Lonchura striata: one gene and its partner. The protein of the gene in region 1 purifies or fractionates together with the protein of each later gene. This does not show direct contact. Links are inferred from orthologs where the notes say so. Each region holds a gene or a part of one and is shown on either strand. Other genes may lie near its edges.

Region 1 (16,514 bases):
CTTAATCCTTGTGTATCCAGTTGTGTAAATAGGCTTTGAAATTAGCTGAGGGTGTAATTTTGGGGGTTTACACCTCTTTGCAATTCAGGATTCCACGCAGCAGCACAGGAGGGTGTGAAGAAGAGCCAGGCACAGGGGGTCACCTCTGTGCTGGAGCACCTCTGCTGTCACCTGCAGGGCAGGGGAATGGATGTCACACAGTGACAAGCTGCTTCCCTTGCTTGTGCTTTATTGATCAGCCAGCCCAGTCTGCACAAAGCACTTGAAATAAAGCCCATTCATGCCCGGAAATGGGAGTTGACAGCAAATTAATTTTTAATGGAGCTTTTGCAACATTTGTGACATTTCTCTTGACATCAGCAGGGGCTGTGGGTGCTCAGCACACCCAAAAGCCACATCTGTGTTAGCTCAAATTCTTGTCTTTAAGGTCCCTTCTAAGCCAAACCATTCTGTGATTCTATGAAGACACAGCAATCTGTGGAAAGGATTTACTAAGGGCACAAAGCATGAATTTGTTTTGGGGTTAGGACAGAACAATAATTTTAATTAAGTTCTTTAAATGAATTTGGATATTGAGCTTCTAACTAAGAGCTGAATGTTATGGAAGTCCTCCTGTAGAAAGTATTGCTCATGTCAACCAGTGGTTACTGGTTCTTGGAGCTTTTTTAGTGTATGTGGTATTAAACCTGGTTGTCCTGAGGCTTGTGTGGGTCAGCTCTTTTGCTACCTGGACATAATTTCTGGAGAGAAGAATGGACATAGTGCCTGGGAACTCCAGGCAGCACAGCAGAGGTGAGCTGGGGGTTCACAGGAGACTGGCACAGGACTCATCTCTGCACTGAGATTCAGCCAGTGAGAAAATCTGATGTCGTGTGTGCCAGCCATGAATATTCTTGGCATGAGTTATTTCCAGAGGCAGGGAACTTTCACACAGACCTCAGCCTTCCCCCTCCCACCTTGACTGCAGTGGGAAATAAGCCTTTTATCCCACATCGTTGGCTTCCATGCACTTCACTTTCATCTCTACAGTTTCCCCTGACTCTTTGCCATCTTTTAAATCCTGCTTCTCCCAGGCTATTCTCTCTGTCCTCACTGGCCTAAAGCTCAGCTCAAGCCTGACATTTTGAGTATTGGTGGCCACATTAAAACCTTGATATGGCATTGAAGTAGCTGGCTCAAACCTCAGTGCTCCTTTGACCCAGAACTTGAAAGGGTTAACTCCTCTGCCTCTGAATCAGCAGGAATTCCATCAGGGCTTGCAGTAAGGGCTGCATCACTCCAGCCCAGCAAACATTTGACCAGGAACAGGCTGTTTGAAGTGAGATGGACAGAGTGCCTTCAATCAGGCCATGCAGGTTTTTCTGAGTGAGTCTAAAACCTCTTCAAACAGAGCTCTCTCTGCTGAGGTTGTGCTGGATGAGTGAAGGCATCCAGAGCCTACACAAGTTTTATGAAAGGCAAAGATCAGCCAGTGCTGGCAGGCCCAGACCCATGAGGAAAGCTGACAATAGTTGTGCGGATTGAAACACGAGATTCTTTTATTCAACAATTCCTCTAATGTTTCTACATCTTATTTCCAAAACTGTCCCTCTTTTCTTTGATATTTTGCCCAGGCTCTTTTTTTTCTTCTTCCCTTTTTGCCCCTGGTTTTCAAGTACATACAGAGATCACAGAGGCAGAAAAGCACTGGAATTCATTTCTCCAGTTCACACAATCCCTTTAGACCTCCTTCATCTTATACAATATTTTGATGTATTTGACTAAATTTAATCATGGAATCAGAATGGTTTGGTTTGGAAGGGGCCTTAAAGAATATATCTAGTCCAACCCTCTGCCATGGGCAGGGACACCTTCTTACCTTCTTCTGATATAAATTCAGACACCTTTATGATTCTGCTGAAGCTTTGTGGAAGAAATGGGCTTTGAGGCAGTCAGAGACAGACACCAGACATCTACACCAGTGCTCCTAAAGGCAGGATTTGCCCATTTAAAAGCAGAGAGGTTTCCTCTGCGAATTCTATTTCATGGTCTAACAGATCTCAGCATTAGCTACCTGCACTTCATTGTCAACCTAAATTTTCTTTTGCTCAGTTTCAGCCAATTACTCTTAGTTATAGCTGTAACCCTTGGATTATCTTAAAATAGTTTTCCCTTTTTAATGTTCACATCACTTCTGGGGTGGTTATCACCTCACTGCACCACGGGCAGGAGCAGCCTTTCACTGCCATTTCCCCAAGGTGGAGAAAAGGACAATGTGATGCTATAAAAAGGAGAGAACATGGTCAAATAATCCCTCTTCATTTTCATTTCCAGGAAATGTCATTACAGCCCTTGTAATGTCTCTTTAGGGCTGCTCTACAGACTTTGCTGAAAGGGGATTTCACGTTCTGGATCTCTGCTTGAGACTTTGGAAGAAAGCAAAGCGTGAAGGCAGGATTAGGAAGGGGGAGGCCAAACTTGCCACTGCATTGTGTGTGAGGAGCACTGGGATGTGGTCTGAGTGTGGGGATCAAAGGAGCTGTATGAGAAAGAAACCTTGGATAAAGGTTTCCATCATCCCAGGGCTCTGAGCTGCGCACTGGATGGGACAGAGAAGAAATAACAGCCTGGGAGCATGTGCCAATACCTGTTCATGGTGCAATTAGTGCTTTGTAGGTATCTGCACTGCTCCCCTAAAAATGTTCCATTTGCTCCTCATCTCCCAGTGTTACAGCACGCAGGGGAAGCACAACTGCTGCTCCATCTCTCTGAACAGACATTAGCAGTGCACAAACAAAGGAGAAGACCCCAAGGCCCTTAACAAACAAACAAACAGTGCACAGAACAAGAAAAGGCTCTGGAAAGTGCTGCTGCTCATTGCTGGCTAAGCACTTTCCCTTTCTGCATTGTGTGTTGAGCAGCTGTGACATCCAGTGGCCAAACACAATACGGTTGGGTCTGGTACAGACCTCTTCATACGTGGTAACAATAACAGAGCCCTTCCATGGCACTTTTCATCTTCAAAAAGCTGTATAAGCACAAATTTGTTAACCCTGCACAGCTCACAGGGCACAGCAATGCAGCTATCCCAAAAGTCCACATAGGAGGGGACAGCACTCTCCAAAGGCATGGCAATCAGCTCTCCAGGCACGTGGAGAACCTGCTGCAGGACCAGAGTGCAGGACCTTCAGCCCCAAGGCAAGGAGCTGAGAGATAAGGGATCAGAAAGGTGCAGCTCATTCAGCACTTGATGAAGAGGCCACACCTGAGGGATGAGTTGTGCTTGTTTTCCCAAGAGCAAAAAAATCCAAGGAAAAAGAGGGGGAAAGATGGGGGAAGCTGAGAGATCCCAGCAGGACCAGAGCTGCTTTGGAAGAGATCCTTTGACAGAGGCCCGGCTTGAGGAAAAAGCTTCAGCAGAGATTTTCTGAAAACATCAGAGGACATTGCTGATAGATGTGGAAGGTAGGGAAGGCAGTCAGATGTGGATTTGGATTAAGAGATGCAGTGGTGGAATGGAAGAAATGTGACTACAAGCAGATACCACCTTGAACTTCCTTTCAGGCCCACGCAGCAAACCAGCCTTGAGAGAGATGCTGTGTTTTATGTCTGGGACATGCCTGCTCCTTTTGATGAACAAAGCAGACCTCACTGAGATGCATTCAGAGATCCAAACTGGGGACAGATGCACGCCATTTCGGTGACCAAGGGCCCAGTCCCTGCTTTCCCAAGGTCATCAGGGCCCAGTGTTTGCTCGCTCAGCTCTGCAGTGTTTTTTTCTGCAGGCAAGGTCATTGCAGGGACTTTCAGAAGGAGCAAAGTGCCCACAGTCCATCCTCGCCACTGCACTCTGAGGAGCTAAAAGTGATGATGGGAGCTGGAAGTGTTTCCCATGAGAATGAGGTTGATGTTTAAGGCAGGAAGACAACATGAAGGAAATTTAAATTCTCTGTCTGTGTTGTACCTGTTCTGTGGCAAGAGGATCCTGCTTGATAACTCTTGTGCTTTACATAACTATTTTGCACCCATTAAGGAAACAAATGAGTTGTTATTGGACTACTCTTTTTTTTTTCTTCGTGTTATCATTCAGAAAAAAAACCCAATCCTAAACACCAAATACAATTTCTTAATGGCAAATCAATTCCTAACTTGCTTTCCCCTTTATAGTGGAATACATTTCAAAGAGAGGGGGAAGGCCCTGCTCAGCAAGGAGCCTCAGACACTCTGTGAGAAGCAGTGCAGGACTTGCACTCTGGCCTCCATAAAGAGAATTACTGCATGGTTTCAGCATGGTTGCAACAAGCAGCTATGGCCTTTGGATCCAGAGTTCCTGGCAATTAATATCCAGCTGGTTCAGAAGCTTTCAGTCTCCTACAAATCACCGTATCGGATCATCAGCTCCTGGGAAATGTACTCTTTGGTATCAGTCCCCTGATTCATGCATTGGTTCCCTTCCAAATGACCATTCCCTGTGCCCTGAAGATGGATGTGGTAGTTGTAAATTTAAATTAGCATTTCCAGTAGTACAGAATATCCTGCCTGGTACCCGAGGGTCTCACACAGCCCTCGTGTACTCAGGGAGGCTGATGGTGGAGCCACACTACACAACTGCACACAGACCCACTCTAACCAGTATGGACCAACCAGCCCTCCACTAAAGCCCTGGAGAAGACAGGATGATGAAGACAGGAAGTTAAGAGCATTAAGAAAGCTGGAAGTGCTGGAAGGTAAGAGCATTAAGAAAGCCATGAGGTCTGTCACCTCCAGCCATTTCACTATTCATGCGCCTAAAGGTGCCTCGCTGCAGGGTGAAGCTGTGAGACAAAGGCATTGCAAAAAATGGGATGAAAAGTGGGGGAGAAGGATGTAAAGTCAGAGGAGGTTCTGAACGCCTGGAAGAAAACATCTCAAACAGTCATTCCACAATTTAATAGATACCCAGAAAGAGCGTTAGTCAGACTCTGCCATTACCTTTCCAATGAAGGGTCCGTAAAAACACCAGGATCTGCAGGGTGGATGAAGAGCAGAAATCTGAGTGACAGAGTGCTCACGTCTGCATCCAGTGGCTTCCCTCTGGAGGTCCCACCTGGACTGAAGCGAGTCGCAAAGCCTGGCTCCCTGAGATGCAGAGCTGCCCTGCCAAGGGAACCTGCTCAGAACACAAACAGGCTGGCACTTGCAGAGGTGTCGGATGCAGCGGGTGAGGGAGGTGCTCACGCAGCCACCCAGGCACATCTTCAGGTGTTGTGGGAGGCACTGGGGGGAGAGAGAAGTCCCTGAGCGTGCAGGAAGTGCTTCAAGGCTCTCTGAAAGCTCACGCCCTGGAATGTGCCCTGCTGCTGCTAATGGTTATTAGCACTTGAATGCATCGCAAACAAGTTCTGATCTGTGGTGGTTCTGCTCTGCCTTGGCACCCTCAGCTGCCTGAACCAGTGATTTCACACTCTGCAGAGCTCAGAAGGCTCCTGCCCAACTGCTCGAAACAGGGCAGGGAAAGGCTGGCCTGGCTGGCTTCTGTGCTCATCAGCGTGTTGCAAGCCACCAAAAAACTGACATTTATCACACTCCAATTTTCCCTGTAAAGCACAGGGAATGTGAGGCCTTGCAGCGGAGGGATTTTGCTCCTGAGAGTCGCTCTCTATTTCTGGGTGGTGGATGCCTGTGAGCCAGGTCTGTGCCAGTGGTTTTTCCCCCTGCTCCATCAGCAGTTCTGCTGTGTGAGTGTTCCTGTGTGGGCTGTTGAATGGGAGCACTGGCTTTATGTGTCCCCAAACTCTCTGTCCCCAGGGTCCACCCCATTAGCCATACAGGCCCCTTCCAAACCATGAAATACTTAAAGAGTATACTGAGTATTTGATACTGGTAACAAGCTTGGATTCCAAAAGAAATTTCTGCTTCCTAGAAATCTCATAGCCTTGGGGATGCTCTTTAAAGCAAGACAAAAAGAAAAATCAGGTAGGATACACAGCTGAGCAGCAGCACTTTTAATATCAGCTCTGAGTTTAATTTTAACACGTATGGCACAGTGCGAGTTTAAATCTGCTGATCCAGGAAAAAATTATACCAGCACCTGATCAGTGCCAGGCTCCTGGGTGCCTGGGCACTGCTGCCTGCAGCCCCGTGTCCCCAGCTGTACCTCCTCGGAGCCCTCAGCTCATTGCCCAGGCTCCAGACCAGGAAATCTGCTTTGTGCTGCCCCTGTGCCCACAAGGGAAGGAGGGAGAGGCAGGGGACAAGACCTAAACTCCTCCTGGCAAGTTCTGGGTTCTTTCTCACAAGGAGGGGTTTAGGTTGGTCTCCCACAGCCACTTCTCCCTCACAGCTTTGGTTTGGTTGAATGGGAATAGGGCAAGAGCTCAGTGCTCTGGGCAGGGGGTTCCTTTAAACCCCACTTCTGCCTCCCACCAGGCTAATTATGACCTTTCAGAAAACGTTTTGTCCCCAAAGAGCACCCTGCTGTACTTCAGCATCAGCCTTTGCTGGCTACTACAATATTTAATTTCCCTCAGCCTCAGGCTTTCTTGTGTTCCATTTTCTTTAGCTCATTATAAGATTTGACACCTCTGTGTGATTTTCCTGCATGGCAATAAAGGCACTTTTATAAAGTGCAAAGATAGTGAAGCATCTCTAATCCAGCAGTTAACCAGCATAAAAATGCAGCTTTAGGATTTCCAGCATCTGGAATGTGTTTTTACAGGGAATGTTCCCCTCTCATGCCCTCACACTGGGCAGGGTGAGGCTGCAGGATAAAGTGCTGCCAAGGACACAGCTCTAAGGGGTACAATGTGCAGTTTGGGGGGGCTGGCACTTCAAAGAATTATCTACCTGTGACAGCTTAATTCCAAGGGCTTTCCCTGCCCAGTGGTGCCTTATCTCAGCTGGGTACAACCTGATTCATGGCTGTGCAGCCACAGGGATGTGCAGGGAAGGCAAAAGCCCCACAGGCAGTGGGCATGGGGGACACGGGGCACTGTCACAAACCAGCCTGGCTGGCACAGGACTTCTCCCTCTGCAGAGGCTGCTGTCCCAGCGGGAAGGTCAATCCTGCAGACTTCCTCTGCTCTTTATTAGACTTTAAGCTTGTCCCGAGGGGATGTTCTCAGGAAGGAAAGAAAAATGTGCCCAGAAGGTACATCCGGCACAGGGCGAGGCAGGGCTGAAGCACCACGAACTTCACTGATCTGTGAGCAATAAAACAGCTTTGTTGGTGCAGTCAGGGTGAATTGGCACTGCCACATCCCCACAGATAGAACACGGAATGCTTTGGCTTGCTGGGACCTTAAAGCTCAACCATCCCAGCCCTGACACGGGCAGGGACAGCTTCCACTATCCCAGAACACTCAGGAAAGTTTGTGCTCCTGCTGGCACACTGGTGTGAGGTGTCACAGCCCAACTTTTCCACACTCGGGAAAATTTGTGCTCCTGCTGGCACACTGGTGTGAGGTGTCACAGCCCAACTTATTACATACTCAGAAAAGTTTGTGCTCCAGCTGGCACACTGGTGTGAGCTGTCACAGCCATCACGTTTAGTGCTCCTTCTCCCCTCCAGGAAGTGTGATGGTTACTCACTTCAAAATCAGAGTGAATATTTATTGTGCTTGTAATTAACCTTTTCCTGGAACACACACATCCGCTCCAGCCTTCCTCCTTCCAGGTTTACTCGTTATTCCCACACCGTCTCAGTCTCCTCAGACCACCCAGCCCCAGCCCTGCTGTCTCATCTCTCCTCATCAGGGAGATGCTCGACCCCAAATTCGTGGCCCCCATGGACCCTCTCCAGTATTCCTCGCCTTTCTTGCACTGCAGAGCCCAGAACTGGCCACAATTGTGAGGAAAGGCTGAGGGAACTGGGATTGTTCAGCCTAGAGAGAACCCTTGTCCTGGCCTTACAGCGCCTGAGGGGAGCTTAGAGAGATGGGGAGGGACTGCCCACAGGGCGAGCAGTGGCAGGACAAGGGGAATAGCTTCAAACTGACAGAGGGCAGCTTTAGTTTGGAGATTGGGAAGGAATTCCTTGTGAGGGTGGTGAGGCACAGGGCATCCATGGCACTCTGGATGGAGGATAACTCTGAAAGCCTCCAAGGCCAGGGTGGACGGGGCTCGCAGCAAGCTGGGGCAGTGTGAGATGTGGCTGCCCACGGCAGGGCTGCGGGACAGGCGGGTGTCCGGTGCCGGTGCCGGTGCCCAGCCGCGCCGCCCGTCCCTCACGCCATGCCCGCCTCACGGCTCCCCCCGCGCCCGCTCCGCATGGTCCCGCCCGCTCCCCCCGCCCGCATGCGCCGCGCCGGCCCCGCCCCTCGCGCGGGGATTTTCCACGAGGCCCCGGCCCGGCCGCACGTAGCGCACGCACGCGAGCCCGCCGCTGGCGCGAGGCGGCCGCGGCCAATCGGGACGCGGCGGGGGACGGCGCTGGCCAATGGGCGCGGCCGCGGGGCGGGCCCTGCGCGCGAGGCCGGCTATAGGCGGGTGCGCGCGGGGCCGTTGGGTCTCAGTCGGAGCCGGGGCGGCGACAGCGGCGGGGCTGCGGAGCGGGGCTGCCGGCACAGCGGTGAGTGCGGCGGCTCGCCCCGCGGGCCCGGAGGCCGCGCTTCCCTTCTCCGGAGAGGGAATCCGCTCCCCTCGGAGCGGCCGCGGAGCCCCGGCCGGGCCGAGGCTCGGTGGTCCCCGGGGGTGCAGGCTGCTGTGTGGCCCTGCAGCGCCGGCGGGGCAGGGAGGGCCTGCGGCGGCCTGAGCCCCGGCGGTGTGCGGGGGTGGGGGTTAAAAGCGGGGGGGATGCGGTGGGTCAAGGCGGGGGCAGAATCAGGGGGATGCGGTGGGTCAAGGCATCCTCAAAGACAGCGTTTAACCTCTTTCTTTTAATCATTAACAGTAGCTCTCGGATTGCGTGTGGTGATTTGGACCTTCCCCTCTTTAGTAGATGTCCTTTAGCTTCCCATCTCAAATATTTAACGTTTGCTAGCATCTGTGCCCGAGGTCTCTTAGCGGGTATTTAAGTGCTGGTTACCCCAGGGCAGCGTTGGTGGGGAGCAGCAGCTGGATGTGCAGGTGTGGATAAAGAGCTGCCTGTTAACCATCTTGCCTCGTGCAGGGCTGCCAGAGAGGACCCTGGGCTTTCTCCTGCTCCGTTACTTGCCTGCTGAGTCACAGGGTAGGGCCGTGGCTGTCTGAGCCGGCAGGAAGTACTGAAGTTTGTCATCCAAGCCCACAGGCTGAGCCAACGCACTTTCAGGCCTCCATCTTACTAAACGCAGAGAGAGAAAGTGGTTGAACGTGTCTGCATCCTTCAGAACCCGTTGGATCATGTTGTAGAGGTGGATTAATGCCCCGTGGAGTGGAGAGGAGCAGGGTTGGAATGTGCACATTTGTCCAGTTTCAGGGAGAGCTTTGGCAGGGGAATTAATACGTTGGGATCTCATAGAGTGCACTCAAAGGTCTCAGCTTTTTTCAGAGCACTGGTGGTATGAGAGTTACGGTCATAAGGACCTTTAAGTGTCAAGAGAGGCTTCCACTGATAAATGTGGCATGCCTGTAATAAGACACTCACTAGGGCAGTTATTTCTATGGCTAAACTTTAGTGTTGCTTTTTAAATCTCCATTCAGATGCTTGCAGTGCTCAGCCTTAACCCTGTATTGATTTTAGAGAAGTGTGGCTGCAAGATAGCTCACAAGGACAGATTTTGGTAGTAGGGTTGCCTATAAAACATCTTTGGAAATAATTTTCAATTGGAGTGATCTCTAGTTGAGAGTACTGCATTCCCTGTGCAGGGTCAGATGAGGAATACGTGGTGATTTCTTAGACTTGAGCTGTAGTGAAGAAGGTCCTCAGAGCTGGCAGGGGTTCTAGGTGCTCCTGGGCAGGCCAGGCCAGGAAAGCTGGAGTGTGTGGCTTCCCCTGAAGGGAGACAGTGACCTTGTCAGCAGATTATGCTGCAGGAAAAGGTTTAAGGCAGTGTGCTCGTTAAATACCACCGGGCTGTTTGCGTGTTTGGCACAGGACAAAGGTCTGAGCAGACAGTGCTGCTGTCCTCTCTGCCTTCAGTCAGCATTTCTGTGGTTAAACCTGTGCACACACGGGCTGACCCTTGTGTTCTGGATGAGTTGACTGATTTGATTGAGGCAGAATATATCGTGGTGAGCTAAACAGCATCAGTTTTACCCTATAGCTCAAAGGGAGAATTGTTTCTTGAACACAGGAGTGGAGAGTTTGCATAAGGAGCATCATGGATTTCTAGGGTAATGCAGTGCTGTGAAATGCCTCTTTCTGCAGGGAAGGGAGGGACTTGTGGTCCTTTGTCAGGGATGGAGTAATGTCTGACCTCACAGGCATTCCCAGTGGAAGTTCTTGCAGTGTGTGCTCCTGAAGTGCCTCCTTCATGAAGGTCAACAAACAGCTGTAGCACTGCACTGAGACGTCCTGGAAACTGGCTGTGCTTTCAAAGAATGAGCCACCTCAAATTCTGTAGCAAAGCCAAGGTTCTAAAAATGAAAGTAAGGTTTAGCAGGTGATAAACTCCGAAAGCCTTTTTGGATAAGTGGGCATTCTTCCTGTTAGCCATTGCTCGGTGCATCTGCAGAGAGCTAAGTGTGGGTGGGACTGATAAGCAGAGACTTGCAGGGATTTATTTCTAGCTTGTGTGTTCACTGACTGAAGCTAGGTAGTGGCAGCATGAAGGTCAGCTTGAAGAAGCTGTCTTGTTTCATATTTTAGTCAGATCATGTGTCAGTGTGGGGGTCTGACTGAAATCTTAGACAGCACGCAGGGGCAGGACAGCTGGAAGGGACAGGGAAAGCCAAAAGGGGGGAAGCAAAGGTTGCCTGTGCTTTTGACCTGGGGAGGGCAGAGTTTGCTGTGGGGGAGGAACAAGAGTGTGCAACTACCCCCTCACAGACTGTGAACCAGCAGCAGCATTTCTAAGGTCATGTTTTTTTAACTTTGCAGTAACTGTGGAAGGATTCATGACCATTTCTGTAAACAGGGTTGCCACCCACATTGGCTTGCCAAGAAACCAGCTTCCAGATAGTTGTGCTTCTGAGGCTGAGCTTTCTTCTGTGCAGATGGGCTGGGTTTGGTGCCAGTCGATGGCTTACAGGCATGTGTATGACTTGATTTTTAAAATGTGCCTGGGCTTACATAAGAATTCCCTGGCTGCACTTTTCTGAAGTGGATAAATGTAAGAAGGGAAAAAAGAAGTATCCAAAAGACTAGGGGGATTTTTTTTTTCCTTTTAAGATAAAAAGTTAAGAGGAAAAAATATTCCTGTAAATTCTCAACAGGGTGTAACTATTAATGCAAGTTTTTAATGAGCTGTGGCTTCTTCTCTTTGGTCATTGGTTCCGTTTGGCTCTGAGCAGGTGCTGTGCATACTAAGAGCACTCTGCATGCTGAGAGCTATTGCACCCTGGTCTCTTAGCAAAAAGAACTCTTGACAGATAGCAGAGTTGCTGTTTTGGGAGCTCTTTGCTGCTCTGACGTGGTGAGGTTCCTTTAGATTTGTCATTTGCTCCTGCAGCTGTGTCTGGGGTCTGATGATACTGCAGTTGAGGTCATTTGGAAACATCAAGAGATTGTCCCTTGCACATAAGGAAGTGATTTTGTTTTTTTAATAATAAAAGTCATGGGACACTGGAAGAGTTTGCCCAGAGAAGCTGTGGCTGCCCCATCCCTGAGAATGTTCCAGGCCAGGCTGCATGAGGCTCATCCAGCAGCCTGGTCTGGTGGAAAGTGTCACTGCTCATGGCAGGGTGTGGGATGGGTTGAGCTTTGTGGTCCCTTCCAACCCAAACCATTCAATGACTAATTCTAAGCTCCTTTTTTCAGGTACTAAAGATGTCTATCACCAAGATCCATGCCCGTGAAATCTTTGACTCCCGTGGCAACCCCACTGTTGAGGTAGACCTCTACACCAACAAAGGTGAGTCCTCAGCTGCAGCTGTTCATCCCTGGCTTAGAGCTGATAGAACCCCAGGCAGGCAGAAGCATAGAACCTGTCCTGTTCTAGCAGTGGAAGTGTGCTGACTTCTTCCTCCACACATAAAACTTGTTGGAACTTGCTGTGAGTCTTGCAGAAAAAGCCTCTGCCTCATTCTGTTGGATGAGTTTGCCGAGCTCGAGTTCCTGGCATGGACAGTGCAGGGTTTTTTGGAGGGTGCTGCTTCTTACAGCCTAAACTGTGGGAGAGCTGTTCCAAACCTGCCCTCCTTCCCTTGCCCCAGCATAAACTGGGATAGCACCTGGAAGCTCTGTTCTGGAGCAGCTGCTCATGGCCCTGGTTGTCAGTGCTCCCCACGATATGAGTACACTTGCAGTTTAATTCTTAATTTGTCTGCAGTGGCTTTCTCTAATGACAGAGTTTGCTGCTGCACAGTTGAATTTTTGGTAATGGTTTCTCCTCTGCCTAAGTACTCAGGCATGACTAAAGAACTTGTCTAATTGGGCTTTCACATGTAACATCTTATATTTTTAATTACTGTAGGACTTTCCCTTGGTTTGTTAGTTGTTCATCCCACATCTGATGGGATCTGACAAAAGCATTGTGCAACCTCATACCAATGTGATTTGGTGGAATGAGCAAACACAATGGCTGTAATACACTGACTAAAGAGCTGATCTTTCTGCCTCAAAAGATTAATACAGTCATTTAATGAGACTGCCTCCACTAAGCTCTTTGATTTAGTGGGATAAGGGAAAGACTGAAGGTTGAAGTTGGCATCCTGAACCCCAGAGCAGGCTCCAGTGTGCAAATTTGCTCCAAGTTCAGCATCCTTGGCTGAAGGAATGGGCTGGCTGAGTGGCTCTGCTGTTGTCAGAAGAGCTCAGGACTCCTGTTAGCAAAATAGGTCTCCTAATTGTCCCTTTTCTGCCATATCCTAGAAGAACTTAGGAGCTTGCCTTGCCTGAGCTCAAAGGCAGATGCAGTGAATTCAGCTATCCTTTCTGGAAGGGGGATGGATGCCTTCCTTAACTCTTGAAATGCATAGTGGAGGAGGAGTCAGGTTGCTGTTGATCAGCGTGAGGGAGATGCTGATAAATTGGTGATGCTGTAAATGAGCAGAAAGCCCTTGTGGGATCAGTGTGTATGTGAGCAGAGGTGTGGTTTGGAGACTCCCTCTCGCAGCTGCAGGGCTGGAAGTGTGTGACAGGCTGGGATGGTGTCTGGCTGGGGATGTTTAGTGGTTCGAGTGTGCCAAGGTGTTTTTTCCTGTTGTGAACAGGTCTGTTCAGAGCTGCTGTTCCCAGTGGTGCCTCAACTGGAATCTATGAGGCCCTGGAGCTCCGTGACAATGACAAGACACGCTACATGGGCAAAGGTAAAGCTGGTCCCTGTCACTGCTGGGCTCCTGTCCTGCTGTCTGTGCTGGCAGCTGGGCAGAGGGGACAGGCAGGGAGTGGCAGCAGCGTGGGCTGTGAGCTGGCCACAGGCAGAGCAGAGTGGCTGGGTTGCTTTCCTGGCCATAACCTGGAGGGTGGCTGCCTCCAGCAGTGCAGCTGCGTCGTGCTGCAGGGCAGGGCAGCTGCACGGGTGGGTGTGTGGAGCTGGGCACGCCCAGCCGGGTGATAATGTCTGGTACAGTGTGTCCAGCTGTACTTTGTTACCCCCTCCTCTTGCACTGTGTGTGGAAGTGTGGCAGAGTGCTTTGCCAGTGCTGTAAGGGCATCTAAACTGCCAGCTCCAACAGCCTCAGTCATCCTGCAGTTAGTCACAAGGTCTTTTCATAGCCCGAATTTTCCCAGAGCCCTTAAATCTGTCAGCTCTGAGACTGCAGACTCCTTAGATCCCAGCTTGTTCAGTCCTGAACCTGGGGTTTCATGCCAGCTCTGTCCACTGTGGATGTGCAGCTCTGCACTGCTAGTCCTGGAAGGTGCCTCTATTTCAGACCTCACAGTGGCTTCAGTCACTCTGGCTTTTTGTCTGCCATTACAGGTAGCCAGGATACTTAAGTTTGTGTTGGTGGTGTAATATTTTACTTGTCTGGAGACTGGCTGTGGATTCTGAAAAGAACTAAACCCAGCAGTCACCAGGCTGGCTTGGGAACAAGTATGGGTGAGAAGGAATAGCTGCAAACAAGATGTCATTACCTAATAAACATCCCAGTAGTACTTCTTGTGATTATTCTGAGAGCTTGGACAGTCAGGGCTTCTTCTTAACTGGCTGCTCTAAAAGCACTGGTGATGCCTCTGAAGTGTGAGCAATCATCTTGACTTCTGGCTGGAAGAGAGAATTATTTTTGAACTTCCCTGCCAGGCAGGTGAAAAGAAGCTGAAATATTTTTTGCCTATTAGGAAAGAGCAATTAAAGTGGATAACTAAATTGAACTTGGAGAGCCTTGTCTTAGGAGATTCATGGCTGTTAATACCTTAACAGAGAATAAATGCCTGGATGACTGAATGTCCCAAAAAACCTGAGGCTCTTAATGCTCTTTACCCAGGGCACTTTTTCTTGCAAAGAGTAAATGTGTATTTACCCCTCTGTGCTAAATGTGTGTGCTTAGACCTGTTAAGTCTGATCCTATGGACAGTTCTTAATGACATTTAATTACACTGTAGTTAACAGGCTGTGGCTGAAGGGCTTTGTCAGCTGGGAAATAACATGAGTTATGAAAAAATAATCATCAAATGGAAGAGTTGCAGATAGCTGTTAGGCCTTTTGTAATAGAGGTCTGCAGACTTGGACCACTTGGAAAAGCAATTAGTATTGTTTAGGATGCAGTCAAATAGCATTCATCATTCTGAAGCTTAGGTTTTTGGAAGTCTTCAAACACTGCACAGTAAATAAAGTGATGCTACAGCAGTGTTACAAAATAGTGAACCTGTAACAGGTAGTGAAATGCCTGAGCTGTTGCATGAGTAACTTCTAGAGAAACCTTTTCCCTCCCCTCACTCCTGGGTTCTCTGAGTTGGCAGGGGAGCCCATCCTAAAACCTTCCTGAAAAGCTGTGGTTCAGGCCCTTGAGGTTTGTGATGGCAGAGTTGGAGAGCTGGGTGGAGAGCCCACACAGAGCCTTGCACAGCTTCCTCTGCTCTTTGAGCCCTTTGTCTCTAGTGCTCAGTGCCAGCCTGGTGCCTCTGTGTCCTCTGCTGCATTCCTGTGGGGTTGGCTGCGAGTTGTCACCTGCGCCTTGACTCCATTTTGCTTCTGTCAGGTGTCTCCAGAGCTGTTAAATATGTTAACGAGTTCCTGGCCACGGCCCTGTGCACACAGGTAATGGATGTGCAGCCCTGGCACTCGGATGAGTCTCTCCAGTGCATGGCCTGGCAGACTAACCTGGCATTCCTGGACCAGTCCTAGCCAATGCATCCTTCATGTGCCTCCCAGTCCAGCCAGGGGCCTCTGTGTTCTCACCTGGCCATAGGCTCAGCTTGGACTGGGGCTGGGGTAGCATGAGGTGGTTTTCCTGGATGTTCCCCTACTAATCCCTGCATAACCTGTGTGTTGACCTGTGTCTGATTTGCTTGTTCCTTCCAGGTGTCTCAAAAGCTGTTGAGCACGTCAATAAAACGATTGCACCTGCACTGATTAGCAAGGTAGGAGCAATCTGTCTTCTCTTAACATCTCCTACAGCCAGGCAGTGTCCAAACCATCCTCTGGTGGGGTGTCACCTGGGGGGTGTAAGCCTGTGTGTTGGAGTGCATGTGAACAAACTGACCACAGCAATGGTTTTACTTAATTTACTTAATGAGTGCACATCTAACATGTAATGAAGCCTTCTCCAGCAACCTGGTGTTGTAGTGTGCAGAAACTCTTCATCCCCTGGGAGCTGCAGTGGTGCAGCTAGGATACAAGCTGATTTATGCTTCGAAGAGTGGCTGAATGAGAGGAGGGGCTAGGTTTTATCCAAACAGGGTGACTTGAAGAGAGTCTGAGAGGATCTAGAAAAGTCTGCTTGAATGAGATTCCTTTGTGCTTTGTGGGCACCAAGCCTGGCCTACAAAGACTGGTGCAGACCTAAGTGATGGCACACCCAGCTCAGCTGTCAGCCCCGGGCTGCTGCTGTGTGATAGTGACAGGAATTGGTCTGCTCAGCTCTTGATGGCTGCCCTTGAGCAAGTGTTGGTGCCTGCCAGGGGTGTCAGTGCCATGGTGGGTGGGTGAGGGTTTGTGGGCCTGTGCTTGGTGTCAAACATTTTGTTTGCTTCCCTCTGCAGAATGTGAACGTGGTGGAACAAGAAAAGATTGACAAGCTGATGCTGGAAATGGATGGGACAGAGAACAAATGTGAGTGGGCTTTGTGTTGCACTGAGGGATGAAAAGATAAAGATGGGTCAATAGAATTCTATTTACCAGAACCAATAGCCAGTGCATGGCCATGTGCTGTGCACTGCCATAATTCAAACCTTGTGAGTCTCTTTTTATAAAGACACTTCTCTAATCAATTTCTTCCCATTTCAGCCAAATTTGGTGCTAATGCCATCCTGGGTGTGTCTCTGGCTGTGTGCAAAGCTGGTGCTGCTGAGAAGGGTGTTCCCCTGTACCGACACATCGCTGACCTTGCTGGAAATCCAGAGGTCATTCTCCCAGTTCCCGTAAGTGCCTGGG
Region 2 (15,579 bases), on another chromosome or scaffold:
GCCTTTTCCCTGCACCAGCTTCAGAACGATGTCCGCATCCCACCGTGGTGAGCAGAGTACCAGAACTTGCTGTGTCACTTGTGTCCCAGGCCCTTCTTCTGTGTTGGGCTGCGGAGCAGATGAGACTTCTTTTGTGAGTCTCCAGGTGTGCTTGTCACAGTAGATTCAGGGGAGGTGGCACACTGGGGTATGTCAGGATTCTCAGTGTTCTGTAGTAAAAGAGGAATGAGATCGCTTTATACTGCGGATGTTGCAGTGGGCAGCAGTGGCAAGGGCTTGGGAGGTAGAACCCAGAGGTTTTCCCTCTGATCTCTTTTTCTCTGTTCCGTGTCAATAGTGGCTGGAAGTGCAGCAAGTGTGACATGAAGGAGAACCTGTGGCTGAACATGACCGACGGAGCCATCCTCTGTGGTCGGCGCTATTTTGATGGCAGTGGTGGCAACAACCATGCGGTCGAGCACTACCGAGAAACTGGCTACCCGCTGGCTGTGAAACTGGGAACAATTACTCCTGATGGGGCTGGTGAGAAGGGGGTTCCTCCCCAGGTTAGGGATGCCAGGCACCTCTCAGGCTGACACAGATCTCTTGCAGGTATTAGGGTGGTGTTGGCCATCTTGTGACCTGGAACATGCAGTATCATCCCATTGTGAATTTTCCCCCTCTGACCTGCTTCTTGTGTGAGGCAAAGAAAGAGCTGATAAAAAAGCCTTGCCTTTCTCTGCCTCTCCCTTGTAATTGTGAGCTTTCAGAGTAGTTATCCAGGTTGCCGTCTGATTTTCTGTGTTGGGGTGTTTATCAAAGAACCCTGTGTTCAAATCCTGAGCAGAGAGTATATGGCAGAGTAACCCATTTTCATTACTCCTGGCATAAGTGTACCTCTGTACCCTGATTGGTGACAAAATTGTCTTGTCACATGTTTAGGAGGAATCTTGGTATTCTGTCTGTTATGTTATTCTGCTGAGAAAGGGCAGAAAGCCCAACAGCTCAGTTTGTCAAAACTCCCAGTTCCAAGCACTTTCTTCATTCAGCTGTGAATTTGAGATCACAGGTCATTATAAGTTACTTTTTTTCCTGTTTTCCTGCATAGATGTCTACTCCTATGATGAGGATGACATGGTGTTGGATCCCAACCTGGCAGAACACCTAGCACACTTTGGGATTGACATGCTTAAGATGCAGAAGGTGAGGAGGAAGTGGTGTCCCCTGTAGGCCCAGTAGGACAGAGAAGCACTCTGAGGTGTCTTTGCTTGATTCCAGCTTTCTGTGGCTATGCAGAACCATTCCTGGTCAAGAAACCTTGGGTTTTTTTGTCACACAGAGAGCTGTCTCATCTGCCTCTCTTCTTTTATTGCCTTTTTTGCCTTTCTTTCATGTCCCTCAGGATTATTTCCCTGGGTTTATGTGTCAGTACAGGCTCCCAGGTGCTGAGGGGTTTTTTGTTAGTGTGTAGTTTCCATGCCTCTTTCTAGGGAATGGTTCAGCTTTCTCCCATATTTCTTTTTCCTCCTCTTTCTGTCCCAGCTATTCATATATATGGAAACAACTCTTGTTTCTTCCTCCTCTACTTACAGAATAAAACAGAATGAATTTGACTCTGTTTCTCTACAGCATTGTTGCATTTTTCACACCTCTGATGTTGCCTTGAGTCCTCTTTGAGGATTTTCCTGTTCTTTCCCTCTGCAGACAGACAAGACGATGACAGAACTGGAAATAGACATGAACCAGCGCATTGGCGAGTGGGAGCTCATCCAGGAGTCTGGCGTTCAACTCAAGCCCCTCTATGGGCCTGGGTACACTGGTATCCGTAACCTGGGCAACAGTTGCTACCTCAATTCTGTGATGCAGGTGCTGTTCAGTATCCCAGACTTCCAGAGAAAGTAAGTGAACTTAATCACTCCTTTCCATTAGTCTGGGATCAGTACACAGTCCCCTAGAGCTGGGCGCTTCTGTTGCAGTAGTCATCCTCAGAGCTGCATTTTTACCAGATGAAGCTGCATATCCCCTAGATTGCTCTGTTTTGCTCCACAGGTATGTGGACAAGCTGGAGAAGATATTCCAAAGTGCACCTTCAGACCCCACACAGGATTTCAGCACACAAGTGTACGTAGAATTTTGGTGAGAGAAAGAAGGCTGAGACTGCCTGGATGCATCCCCTCTGTGCTGCTTTGCTCCAGGGTTCTCCCTCAAGCCTCACCTCTGTTTCCTTGCCTGTCACCAGAAACACTGATCCTCAGTGATCAATAAGGATCTAAGCCAAGGAAGTTCAGCTGAATGCCCTAGATGGAGAGGACAGAGTGCACCCTGTGTTCATGAGAGGCTCTGAAATGTATTATGCATGTTAAACTGGGGGGTTTTCTGGGAGACAGCTTCTGTCTGCATAACAGATAAAAAGGGCTTGCTGTCTTCAATGGAGGGAGATTATAAAGGGGATACATAGGTTTAGGCAGCTTTATTCTCAGTGGATAACTTATGTATGCTTAAAGAGGCTTCCCTCCAGTGTGGAGAATATGCAGAAGGAGGAACACAAGATTTGGGAGGGAGTTGCATGTTACGTATGTAATGTTTGTGCTGCAGCTGCTTTCAAACAAGCATGTGGAAGTTTGGGTGGGGAGGAATGGAAGGTAGCATTTGTGGACAAGGAGTTCAGTACAGAAGGATTCTAAATTTGGGCAGCCTGGAGTGAGGTGTTCACTGAGAGGGGATTAAGGTGAAAGAAAGATGATTGCCTGGGCAAAGGGTTTGGTAAGGTTTGGTTCCAGACAAATGGGAAGATGGCAGTAATGATGGGGAAGGACTGGAGTGAAATGTAATAGCAGAAGGGTCAGAGCATAGGAGTAAATCACTGAACACATACTGTTGTCCATTAAGTGCCTGATGCAGTCAATCTTTCCTGTGGGAAAACGTGATCAGTGTGCTCACAGCAGTGCTATTTCTGGCTCAGACAATTTCTCTGTGCCCGGTTGTCTCCTGCACAGTCAGACACTGCTCCATTCCCCCATCAGGCTGCAGCTCAGCTTGGCTGCTGCACAGCTGCCGTGTGGCTCAGCACCAGCTGTTCCTTCGTGTTCTAGTCAGTGTGCAAGCAGTGGTTGAGATTGGCACCCTAAAGCCCTGGTGACTTTGAAGTCAATGATGTCTCCAGGAGCCAGAGAGCAGACCACGATAAGATAATCTTGCCTGGTGCAGCAGAAAAAGCTGTTATCTGTGAGACTGACAGCCCATGGCAGTGTTAAATCTGGATGGGTTGATGTGGCTCCTGGAGCATGTGAGATTGAAGAAACATTGATGTTAACAGTGACTTTGTCATTCCAGAGCCAAACTTGGCCATGGACTGCTTTCTGGGGAGTATTCAAGGCCAGCTTCTGCAGATGGGGAACAACAGCCTGATCAGAAGGTGAGGCTTGGGTATGGCATCCTTTTGATGCATGTATTGCATGAGGTACTGTGTGTGCTACATGGCAAAGGAGGGAGAACCCTTTCTGAAGACATGTGCTGGGGCTTGTTGCAAGGCCTGTCACCTGAAGAAAAGCATGTCTAAGAATAGAGAGCTACCTGCCAGGACACATGCTTGGCAAATTATGACCACCTTCCTCTTCCACATTGTTCTTTGCAGGGTATGCAAAATGGCATTGCTCCACGCATGTTTAAGTCCCTCATTGGAAAGGGGCACCCAGAATTTTCCACTAACAGACAGCAAGATGCCCAGGAATTCTTTCTGCACTTCATCAACATGGTGGAGGTAATGGTTGAGTCTAACTGACAAATCACAGATAAGTCCAGCTTGATTTTCTTCATACAGCAAGGGGTGAGGAGTGGAGGTGAGAAGCTGGCAGTTGGAGCAGAGAGAGGGAAAGAACACAGGGAAATGGGCCATCTAGCACCTGCCAGGGTGGAGAAGGAGAGGTGCTTGGCCATGTTTTCAGAGCTGATTCCATGGAGAAGTCTTTTTTGGGAGTGGCACAGCTGGAGGTGTAAAGTTTCTTCTGTAGGAGTAGGAATGCCATGGCTTCCTGGAGTACAGAAGCTGGCTTTAGTTTCCTCTTTGCTGTCTTTTCCAGGGTACTGGGTACAGAAGTGAATCCTCTTCAGCCACATGCTGTGTGACATCACTGTTATTGCAGATAATTTTTTCTGCTATTCTGCTGTTACATCTGTCCTTCTAATTTCTCCTTCCTCAGAGGAACTGCCGCAGCTCGGAGAACCCTAACGAGGTCTTCCGTTTTCTGGTGGAGGAGAAGCTGAAGTGCCTGGCCACAGAAAAGGTGAAATACACCCAGCGTGTGGACTATATTATGCAGCTGCCTGTGCCCATGGATGCTGCACTCAACAAAGGTCAGTAATGTGCCTACACCAGAACAGTAGCAAGCCCTGTGTTTCTATATTATACTATTCTTACAGAGCTCCTTAAATGAGAAAGGGACTTCTTTGCCACTTCTGAGGCCAGGTCCTTCTCCTGCTTTTGTGGGATTGGGCTGATTCTTCAAAGGTGGTGTGACACGGATGTCCCTCTAGAGCCTCTCCCTCGGCCACCACAAGCTGGGCTGTGACTCAGCAGCAAACGAGGAGTGACTGCAGTGGCAGAGCTGTGCTCTGGAAGCTGTGCTCCGTGCTTGATGGCGTGTATCTATAGGCCTGCTCTGCCTCTGGGTGTAGCTTGCAGCAGTCGCTTTGTAGGTACCTAGAGGTGTTCCTTGACTCCCCTGCTTTATTCTCTAGATGAACTGCTGGAATATGAGGAGAAGAAGAGGCAGGCAGAGGAGGAGAAGCAGCCTCTGCCTGAGCTGGTGCGAGCCAAGGTGCCTTTCAGCTCCTGCCTAGAGGCCTATGGAGCTCCAGAGCAGGTGGATGATTTCTGGAGCACAGCCTTGCAGGCCAAGTCTGTGGCTCTCAAGTAAGTGTGTGTCAGCTAAGCTGTGATGAACTGGCCATAGCTGCTTCTCTGGGGACTTGTAGTGGCTTGGGGGAAGAACCATTATTGAAGCTTTGTAGTCCTCCACACCCTGGGCCCATAGAACATTGAAGCAGAGAGGGGATCAGTCCATCAGTGCTGGAGTGGTTACCCTCAGTAGGCAGAGCGGCAGTGCTAGTGGAGTCCAATTACAAACTCCCGCACTAGTCATCAGATTTCTCAGTTGCTGAGGGGCTATGAAAACACAGTGATATTTCAGAAAACTAGTAGTTGTTACTGTAAATTTAAAATTTATCTTTGAAATCTGCACTGACTGTATGATGACAATGATCTTACACTATGTCTAAAATTCCTTCAAGTTTTAAGCTGTGAAGATTTGAGCAGAACACTGAGTGTAACAGATGCATGAGTTCTTTGAAAGAATGCTAGTTTAAATGCTAGTAGCAAGGTTTAAAAACCAGATATAATTTTTCTCACTGCTTGTAGCACATGCAACAGTGCAAAGTTGAAGTGACAAAATTACAAATGTAAGCAGCTTTCTGCTGTGATGCTGAGTATTCTTTTGCAATGAAAGTCATGAAAGAGTTGGAAGGGCTTTTCTATACTCCATTATTAATGGATTAATTAATTAAATTATTAAATTCTCTACTATTAAGCAATAGCTACTATAAACAAATAACACATTGAAAAGTAACATTTTGTTTTAATTTTTACTGAGTTGTATTCAAACACTTTACTGTCACTTGATTTAGTTCTACAGCATCTTGCAATTATCACCTGGTAATGAGTATCTGTCTCACTTAGAAGTGCTTCTCCCTTCACAAACATTCCCGTCTGTTTCATAGCTTCCAGACACTTTCTCTCTCAAATTGTCTAACTAAAAAATGTTTTATTGAATTTGGTTAACTTAAAATTCACTGCTTCTGTTTCATATCCAAAAAAGCGCTCTTATGCTTGAAAGCTTGACAGTTCCTGCATGTTCTGTTGCTCTAATAAAAGATGTTATTTCCACTACATTCCTTAAGAGTTAGACTTCCAATTAAACAAAATCTGACCAGGTTTGTAAAATACAGGATTGGAAGGTAGAGCATATGTACAATTTTTTCTCATCTCCAAGATTTGCATTCCATCTCATCAGGGCTTCTGTCTTAGAAATAGTTCTGTGTTTGAGGAGCTTTAAGCTCAGTATAGAAGAACTGCACAGACAGGTGTGTCCCCCAACTTGCTCAGGACATGGTTCTGTCCTGCTCACTGATTTATTGGATCAGCTAGATACCCTTAGTCTTTGCTGACCAGGTATTTAAAAATATTACGTGTCTCTTTCAGAACAACACGGTTCGCCTCTTTCCCAGACTATCTGGTCATCCAGATCAAGAAGTTCACCTTTGGTCTGGACTGGGTGCCCAAAAAACTCGGTAAGGAGGATGAGAAGTACAGAGCATATAGGTACTGGGAGTCACATATGGATATTGTGGTCACTGCTGCCAGGAGGAAAGTGACTATCCCAAAAGTTGCTGCAGGCATCCCCAGGGACTTACCCTTCTAGATCTCCCAGCTGAGTCCTTTGCTTCTGCCCCTACGTGGAGGCTGAGCAAGACCATATCTTGCAGATGTTTCCATTGAAATGCCAGAGGAGCTGGATATCTCTGCACTGCAGGGAACGGGGCTGCAGGAAGGAGAGGAAGAAATGCCAGACATCGCACCCCCACTGGTGACACCAGATGAGCCCAAAGGTAGCCTGGGGTTCTATGGCAACGAGGACGACGACTCCTTCTGCTCCCCTCACTTCTCCTCTCCAACATGTTAGTGATTCTCCTCCTCTCTTCCTGATGCCTGACTCATTTCCTTGCTCTCCTTGCCTTGTGTCCCATGCTAGCAGTTTCCCACTTGCTCAGACTTTCCCTGTCCTTTTGTCAGCGATTGCCAGCTGCCTCCCTTGCATGCCTGTTATGCAAGGGTGTTATGCAAGGGGGTTTATTGATTCCTGTTCTGTGCAAGATGGGGTGGCGTGTCTGGTGCATTTAGAGGAGACAGAGCTGGGATTTATACAGCATTTAATTGGTAGGGGTATTTAATTTTTACAAACCACAGTGGGAGGTTGGGTTCAGAGCCTAGGGAAGAGCCAGTGCTCCTGAGTTCATGGGTTGAATCATTTTGTTCTTTGCCTGTGTGTGAGACTGCTCTTCTGAAGAAGAAAGGTGGCTGAGAAAAGCCATGAGATGGAAGGTGGTGTGAAATAAAGCTAGGAAGTGGTGGCTTTGGAGGCTGTGTGACATGAGACAAAATGGAGCCAGCAGGGATGGGTGGGAGTGGGTGGCTCTAACTTCTGTCTCCCCACAGCACCCATGCTGGATGAGTCGGTGATTATCCAGCTAGTGGAAATGGGCTTTCCCATGGATGCCTGCCGCAAAGCCGTGTATTACACAGGGAACAGTGGGGTTGAGGCGGCCATGAACTGGGTCATGTCACATATGGACGATCCAGGTATGAGGCCATGGGCATGGTGAAGCTTTCTGCTGCTTCTGGGCTGTTCTTGTGTCCTACTACCACAGTGGAAAACTGAAGTAGTTTGGACTTGGGCTGTACCCTCTTGGAGAGATCTGATTACTCGGAGCTGTGTTGTGTTTCCTGCTGCAGACTTTGCTAACCCATTAGTTCTCCCTGGATCCAGTGGGCCAGGGTCAACTATTGCCTGCCCAGACCCTCCTTCGGAAGACAGCGTGGCCACCATTGTCTCCATGGGCTTCTCCCGGGACCAGGCAATGAAAGCGCTTAGAGCCACGGTGAGAGGCATGGGTGACATCAGAGTGCAAGGATTTTCTCAGGAACAGGAATTCTCAAGTTCACTGTCGTCTTCTTCCTTCCAGAACAACAGTCTGGAGCGTGCTGTGGATTGGATCTTCAGTCACATCGATGACCTCGATGCAGAAGCTGCTATGGATATCTCAGAGGGGCGCTCGGCAGCCGAGTCCATCTCTGAATCCATCCCTGTGGGTCCCAAAGTCCGCGATGGGCCTGGAAGTGAGTTCCAAGCCATAGGAATGTGGATTTTGGGGTGCAAATTCAACATTGCTTTGTCATTCCTGATCCATGCAGTACTGCAGGTTTTAGCAGCAGCAGCTACTGCAGAGCTGGTCTGGTTGTAGAGGTGGAAGCAGGGAGGAGGAGGGAAGGTATGGCAAAGTAGTCTAGATCCTTCAGGCTGGATGAGTGTTAACCTGGAAGCCAATAAGAGAGAGGTTGGGGAAGGGCCATGAAGAGAAAGGAAGGGCTGTGCTGCTTTTGTCCAGTGGTTCTAGGAGGCTTTTTTTGCTCTCTTGGTTCCCACTGAAAAAAAGTAGTTCTGGTTTGTGCACAGAATTTGTGCCAGTGGTGCTTGGCTCCTGGGTGCCATAGGGAGGCAAAATCCCTGCCTTACCCATCCAGGAGCCATGGCCCAAATAGAAAGTTGGAAGAGACAAGTCTAAATGGAAGTCAGCATCTCCCATTTCCCTCTATGTCTGGCCTTAAGACCACTGACAGTCACACTTGACGGGGGATCCAGTTCTAAATTATTACCCAGCAGAGCCTCCTTCAGGGATCCTTCTCTAGAGAGGGCCTTGCAGAGGATGTTAGGGTGTAAGACATCTTTCCCTGACAATCCTCTCTTCCCTCCTTCTTTCAAGAATATCAGCTGTTTGCCTTCATCAGCCACATGGGCACTTCAACTATGTGTGGACATTATGTTTGTCACATCAAGAAAGATGGCAGGTAAGGATTTCCACAGTGTAAGGGAACTGAGGTACTGGTTTTAAATCCCCAGCCTGCCCTGTTTCTTCAGAAGTCTTGGGGGGTTGGGACTGAGAGCAGGCAATCGAGTTGTGTCTTAACCACGAATGGCATTCCTGAGCTCCTCTTACTCCTGTTGCAGGTGGGTGATCTACAACGACCAGAAAGTCTGTGCTTCTGAGAAGCCCCCCAAGGACCTGGGCTACATCTACTTCTATCAGCGGATTCCCAGCTAGAACATCCTCTTGCTGTGTGTGGTGGGGGGAAAGTGGGCTGAAGCTGTCGGGGGGGGAAAGGGGTGGGGGCAGTGAGGGTGGGAGCAGGGTCCTTCTCTTCTCTGCTGCTTTCCCCGGTCCCTTCACGGCCTCTCTGTGGAGACACGGGGATACAAGAGTTCACTGACTGATCGACTGGGGGCTGGAGCCCCCGTGGACATGAGTGAAGGGGGTTTGGGGGGTTGGGAATATCTGTTTCTGTAGGAAATGTCCTCACTGTCCCCACCCCCGTGCCACACAGCCCTAGTGCTTCGCTGCTTGGTGGGATGATGCCACCTCCTTGCTGTCCGGAAGGAGAGGAGGGGGCTCGTGTGTACGTGTGGCTTGTGAATGGGGGGGGTTCCTCCTGCCCGCCCTGTCGGGCGGGGGCGTGGGGCGGGCAGCAAGGCGGGCCACGGGCAGCGCTTCCCCTTGTGTGCCCTTGAGATGCCAAAATACACGAGGGACAAAATAAAAGCCGAAATTCCCCCCTGGCTCCTGTCTGAGCCCGCCTGGCCGCGGGAGCGCGCGGGCGGGGCGGGGCGGGGCGGGCCCGCGCGGGGCGGGGTGGGCGGGGCCTCGGCCGCCGCCGGGCTATAAAAGGGCGCCGGTCTCCGCGCCGCCGCCGCTGACCTTCGCGTCTCCTCCGCCGCCGGCCCCGCTCCCGCTCCCTCCCGCCATGGCGCCCAGGAAGTTCTTCGTGGGGGGCAATTGGAAGATGAACGGCGACAAGAAGAGCCTGGGCGAGCTCATCCACACGCTGAATAGCGCCAAGCTCTCCGCCGACACCGGTGAGGGCGCGGCCCGCACGTAGCGCACGTCCCACACGGCCCTGCGGAGCCGGGGACCGGGCCCGGGCCCGGGCGGGGGAGCGCCAAATGTCAGAGGGCGGCGGGGCCTAAATATAACCCCGCGGCTAAATATACTCGCGAAACCGGATCCGGGCTGCTGCGGGCCCGGCCGCCACGTGCGGCCGACCCCCGGGGACCCCGCGCGGCGGGCCCGGGCCTCCCCTCGGCCTGGCCCCCGCGCCCTGCGAGCGGCGGTCTCGCAGCACCGAGCTGCGCTGCGCCCGCCCCGCCGCCGCGCCCGGCTATACCCCCAGGCGCAGCCCGGTTCGGCCAGGCCAGGCTGCAGGGTGGGATTCTCACGCGATCGTTCATTTGGGCACTTCCCAAGGGACCCCTGTGAGCTGGCCGTCGGGCTGGTGTCGCCTGTCCAGCCCCCTAGAAAAGGCTTTCCTCCCTGCTGTTGAGTAATCGGATAGCGGGGATTGCCCTGTGGCAGAGGGGCCACCAAATGTCAGTGAGGAGGGGCAGGCTGTGCCTTCCCAGGAGAGAGGGATGACCCCTTGGGGCTGGGATTTGGGATCAGTGGCTGGGTACAGTTTCTGCCCTTTTCCTGTCACAAGGGTTACAAGGTGCTTTGCCTTGCAGAGGTGGTTTGTGGAGCCCCTGCCATCTACCTAGACTTTGCCCGTCAGAAGCTCGATGCAAAGATTGGCGTGGCAGCACAGAACTGTTATAAAGTACCAAAAGGAGCTTTCACAGGAGAGATCAGGTGAGCCCAGAGAATAAAGTTAGGGTGCCTCTGGGATGTGAACTTCCTCCAGTGAGTCATCTCCTTTCTCCCCAGCCCAGCAATGATCAAGGATATTGGAGCTGCATGGGTGATCCTCGGCCACTCAGAGCGAAGGCATGTTTTTGGAGAGTCTGATGAGGTGAGTGGCCTCATAGAATGGAGACATGGTCCAGTTACAATGGGTCTGCAAAGACTGAGAAAGTGAACAATTAAAACATACCTCCAACCTGTTTTATTGGCTGCCTTGTTTCTTTTCCGTTCCCAGCTGATTGGACAGAAGGTGGCTCATGCTCTGGCTGAGGGCCTTGGAGTCATTGCCTGTATTGGAGAGAAGCTGGATGAGCGAGAAGCTGGCATAACAGAGAAAGTGGTTTTTGAACAGACCAAGGCTATTGCTGGTAAGAGGAAAATGAAATGGTTGATTTGGTTTTTTTTTTAGCCATTTTCCAGCTCTGCTCTTCCCAGTATGGGGGTATTGTGCTTACCTCTACCTTCTCTCCTCCCTAGATAATGTGAAGGACTGGAGTAAAGTGGTTCTTGCCTATGAGCCAGTTTGGGCTATTGGAACTGGTAAAACTGCAACTCCCCAACAGGTATGAGCATGGGAGGTGCTGCTTAAAGGACCAACTGACCCTTCCCCCTCAGGAAACCTTGTCTTTGGAAGGGAACTGTGTGCAGAATGGCTCATGCCTCAGTGTGACTCCTGCGTTGTGTTGCAGGCTCAGGAAGTTCATGAGAAGCTGCGGGGGTGGCTGAAAAGCCACGTGTCTGATGCTGTTGCTCAGTCAACTAGGATTATCTATGGAGGTGAGTCTGGAGCGACTTTCCAGGGCAGGAAGTGCTTCATTTCTCTACCTGTTGCTGCAGTTGTACATAATTTCTTCCTGGCAAGGAAACTCTTGACTTTCAGGGCATAAAGAATCACCTTATAGCTTATTTGGGTAGCTTGCTTGGATAAATGGGAGAGTCTTGCTGTCTGTAAGAAGTGGCTGGTACCTTGCCAGTCCTGCCTTTGCTCTGGCCCCATTTTCCTAGAGCTGGCGCATCTGACCTTAAAACACTGCTCCCTCCTTAGGTTCTGTCACTGGCAGCAACTGTAAGGAGCTGGCCTCTCAGCATGATGTGGATGGCTTCCTTGTTGGTGGAGCTTCTCTCAAGCCAGAGTTTGTGGATATTATCAATGCCAAACACTGAAGCACCCCATGAGGAGCTGTCCCTTGTGGTAAAGAAGTGGAAGCAAGAAGGGACCTTTTGTTGCACACATCTCAGTACGGAGGCCTCCCTTGAGGCTTTCCCCCTCCACAGTCATTGTTCTAGATGTTCTGCTAACCACCCCCACCACGTCAGAGTCCTGTCTGCAGGAGCCTGTCTCGGCAGAGTCTTGACAAGTCTCCACTCTGAGCTGAATCCTCAGTTTCCTGTTGACCTGTTCAGAGCTCACAGCCCACCTGGCCAGTATCTCTCCCTTTCCCTGCAGCCCTGCAGGGACAGGGAGCCGCTGGTGCTGCGGGGAGGAAAAAGGAACCACAGTCTCTTGCATCCTTCAGCTCCATCAGCAAGGAATCTCTCAGCTTAGACCCTTGTGAGATGTCTTACCTCACCTGTGTCCCGTACTGAACAATAAATGAAAAACAGAAAAAGCAAAGGTGTGTCCTGGATCTTACTTGGAAGCATCTCGGGGACAAGCAGCATAGAGAACTTACTGCTTTTTGAGGTGGCTGGTTGCAGAGAGGGTTTTGTGGGCTTTTCCCTGAGAGCCCACCATTACTCCAGTAGGCACTACATGGGTTCAACCTGCATCTTGCTTCTGGCATATAACAGCTCTTCTTTGGGCCTGTGGTGATTTTGTTATATCTGTGTATCTATTCCAGTAGCTGCTGGAGCACCTGGCTGTTCCACCAGTGAGCCAGTCTTCCCTGGCAGGCTCAGTAATGTGCTCATCCATGCTCTTTGCCTGTAAGCCTGGTAATTGACTTTGCTCACTCAATGTAGAGTGGAGCAGCTCAGTCTCTGCAGGGAAGGATTTTATTTAGGCCCTGTGTTGGGGCAGTACTTGCTGCTTGCTTTCAGCCATGTGCTGGTGGGTGAGAAAGCAAGACTTGATGTTACTTCCCAGCTAGCTGCTGGGGTTTTTTTGGTAGTACTGAGGGTGATGAAAAAAAAGTGCCTTACAAGGAGGAGCTTATTTGTGAGGCAGTACATCCTTGGGAGCCTATGGACAGTGTTCCAGCTGCTAGTGCTAGCATCACTTGAGGGATAAGGGGCCAAGAGCTGAGGAGCAGGGAGGAAAAAGCCTCTGGTGCTGGGGGCGGTCCTGCTGCCTAGCTGGATGGGAGGGATCTTCCTAGGATATCAGGTGGTCTGAGAAGGACGGGCTTGACAGCAGCAAGGAGATGGCAGCTCCCAGCTCTGTATGTGTGTGGAGTGAAATAGAAAGAAGGAGGATGGTTCAAAGACAAAAAAAAAAAAAAAAAAAAAAAAGGCAAACTGAAAACTATATAACCAGAGCACATGTTTCTGAGAGACTGCTGGGCCATGGCTGTAGGTTGGGGCTGTTGGGTCATACAGACCAGAGCAGCAATGTTGCAGCAGGGGCACACGGTGATCCTAAGGCTGCAGGGACTGGGTACAATCACTCAGGGCTGGGCCACCACCCGCTGCAGCTCTGCTATCTGCTCCTGTTCCTGCCCAGCCCTGCCCACAGTACAAGAGCCCAGGAGAGTGACCTACATAGAAGAAAACAGATGGGAGCTGGCATTGATCTTACTGCTTTGAGAGAATTCAGGGGCATGAAAACATTCATTTAATGAGGAATAAACTCATGGAAAATAATTTCTGTATCAGCAGGAGTGCCAGATCTTGTTTCTCTTTTTTTTTTGTCTGCTTCCTGGCAGGACTGCAGCTCTCTGGAGTGGAAATACTGCCAGATCCTCACAGCAAACTGTAGTGGTTGGATCTTAAACAGGTTGCTGTTGGAGAAAAATGCACTGTGCCAGATGTAACAGCCTGAGAGAGGCTGCAATGGCTCCGCATCCCCAGCCCCAAACAATAACCAGGCTGAGCCTGTATTCCCAGTAGGCACCACACACATGCTGGACTCAATGATCCTTGTGGGTATCCCTTTAAACTCAGAATATTCTGTGACTTTGAATATATTGTACTTAAACACAGCCATGGCTGGCCACACAGATCCATCCACACAGAGCACTCCCACACAGCACTGACAGCCTCATCCCACGCCCTGCTCCAGCTGAGCAGGACAGAAGTGCGCTAGTGAGCGTCTGTGTCCATCTGTGTATTTACAGAAGAATTTACACTCGTGTACAGCAGGTCTCCTTCCAGCAGCTGCCTCAGGCAGTGCCCAGGAGCTGCCCCTCACTCCCAACCTCTCCAGCCCCCAGCAGCAGCTCCCTGTGGTGTTCTGACCACGAGTTCCTCATGCAGGGCAAAGTGCAGAAGGAGTTTAATGAGAAGATCTGACAGGCTGCGCTGATCAGGTGCAGGACATGGACAAATCATCACAAACCATTTACACAGGACTGGCCCTTTTTATTCCTGTGTGCTGTATTTGTTTCTCTGTGACCTAGGTCACCCTGGCTCCTGCCCTAATCACTCCCTAACGAGTCCTGTGCAATCCCCAAATGCTCTTCCCCTGCGTCTCATCCTGTCCCACACCCCTGAAGACAGTGACACCCCCAATGTTAAAGGTGCTCTGGGGCTGAGGCTCCCCTGGGATGGCACTGGACAGGGTGTTCTTTTCTCTGAGTCCTTAATTTGGGTTTCCACCTGCCACTGTGCCCCTCGAAATGGGCCTTTACTGGGCTGATGGCTCCTGGGACGGGCCTGGAAGCAGCCTGGCAGGTGCTGCTTGGGCTCCCCCTCCTGCCATCACCGCCTGTGCTCCTGTGTGGGTGTGCAGGCCAGGTTTTAGTACATACCCTCCTTAATTGTTGGTATAATTAGGTTTGGGATATAGAATCTAAACAAAAATTTTCTAGTTTAAAGATTCGTGTTTCTGTAATTAGGGGATGTTTAGGGCAGGAGGCAAAGGCAGGAAAGGAAGTGTTCATATGCAGATTAATGCTTTACTCTGAGGGTGGTGAGGCACTGGAACAGGTTGCCCGGAGGAGTTGTGGCTGCCCCATCCTTGGAGGTGCTCAAGGCTGGGTTGCACAGAGCCCTCAGCAACCTGGTCTAGAGGGTGGCATCCCTGCCTGTGACAGAGGGATTGAGACGAGCGGATTTTTGAGGTTACTTCCAATCCGAACCAATCTGTGGTTGTGTGGTAATGAGCAGGGAGTGAACTCAGATTCACATTCACATGTGTAGCACAGGAGAAGGGGTCAGCACTGGGGAGTCTAGCAGGACAAGGCAGGACGCAGCTTGCTGTGCAGCCCGGAGTGCAGGGGTGCTTTGCAGGAAGGGCGATAGCTGATGGTTGTGTGAGCAGCTCTGCTTGAAGCAGCTTACCTAGCGCTAATGTTACCCAGGCACTGCAAAGGAGCAAAGTGCACTGAAGGGAAAGAGCCTTGGACTTTGTATGAACTGCACAACACTGCTGACCATCAGCTCTGAGCCGCATTCCTGGCTGGTAAACACCCGGTGCTGTTGGCATGGGCTGGGCACGGGCAGCCTCAACCCTTCCCAGCCCCGCAGCCTGGAGGACAGGGCTGGAGCAGTGCACCCCAAAAACCCCTTCCTGTCATCCACGTGCTCATAATCGGGAGGCTTCATGCAAAGCTCAAGACTAATTCTGCTCAACATGTTAATTAAACATTTACTAGAGGGTAAATTAAGCGTTAATTAGGCATTCACCGCCCGAGTGCCCACCACCCTGCCTGACTTCGAACGGGCCCCGTTTTGAGCTGGGCGCGCACAGAGATCCCTTCCCACAGGGGAAATCCTGCCGTTGTGTGGATAGGCGGCCAGCGGCAGATGTCGCCCAGGCGGCAGGCGGAGCGGGATCGAGCTCTCCGGGCCCGCGTTGCGGGCGGGACGCGCCCCGAGCTCTCCGGGCCCGCGGTGCGGGCGGGACGCGCCCCGAGCTCTCCGCGCCCGCGGTGCGGG

Evidence for each region.
Region 2: the proteins of ENO1 (region 1) and TPI1 fractionate together in Homo sapiens (co-fractionation; 4 studies listed by BioGRID, with this or other methods). This does not show direct contact. The link is inferred for Lonchura striata from reciprocal best matches to the Homo sapiens genes ENO1 and TPI1.

The regions. Positions count from the first base shown.
Region 1 is NC_134626.1:1,237,107-1,253,620, reverse strand, and holds the start of ENO1 (alpha-enolase), read left to right. Parts: upstream 1-8,424; 5' UTR 8,425-8,527; intron 8,528-11,797; 5' UTR 11,798-11,806; coding exon 11,807-11,891; intron 11,892-13,191; coding exon 13,192-13,287; intron 13,288-15,443; coding exon 15,444-15,502; intron 15,503-16,123; coding exon 16,124-16,193; intron 16,194-16,367; coding exon 16,368-16,501; intron 16,502-16,514. UniProt on the Homo sapiens protein: Glycolytic enzyme the catalyzes the conversion of 2-phosphoglycerate to phosphoenolpyruvate. In addition to glycolysis, involved in various processes such as growth control, hypoxia tolerance and allergic responses.
Region 2 is NC_134604.1:29,736,290-29,751,868, forward strand, and holds TPI1 (triosephosphate isomerase), read left to right. Parts: upstream 1-9,523; 5' UTR 9,524-9,610; coding exon 9,611-9,722; intron 9,723-10,367; coding exon 10,368-10,491; intron 10,492-10,566; coding exon 10,567-10,651; intron 10,652-10,777; coding exon 10,778-10,910; intron 10,911-11,019; coding exon 11,020-11,105; intron 11,106-11,231; coding exon 11,232-11,319; intron 11,320-11,587; coding exon 11,588-11,706; 3' UTR 11,707-12,157; downstream 12,158-15,579. Other genes in the region: USP5 (ubiquitin carboxyl-terminal hydrolase 5), read left to right, coding at 1-47, 338-522, 1,088-1,182, 1,684-1,877, 2,029-2,100, 3,313-3,394, 3,614-3,739, 4,179-4,332 and 8 more. UniProt on the Homo sapiens protein: Triosephosphate isomerase is an extremely efficient metabolic enzyme that catalyzes the interconversion between dihydroxyacetone phosphate (DHAP) and D-glyceraldehyde-3-phosphate (G3P) in glycolysis and gluconeogenesis.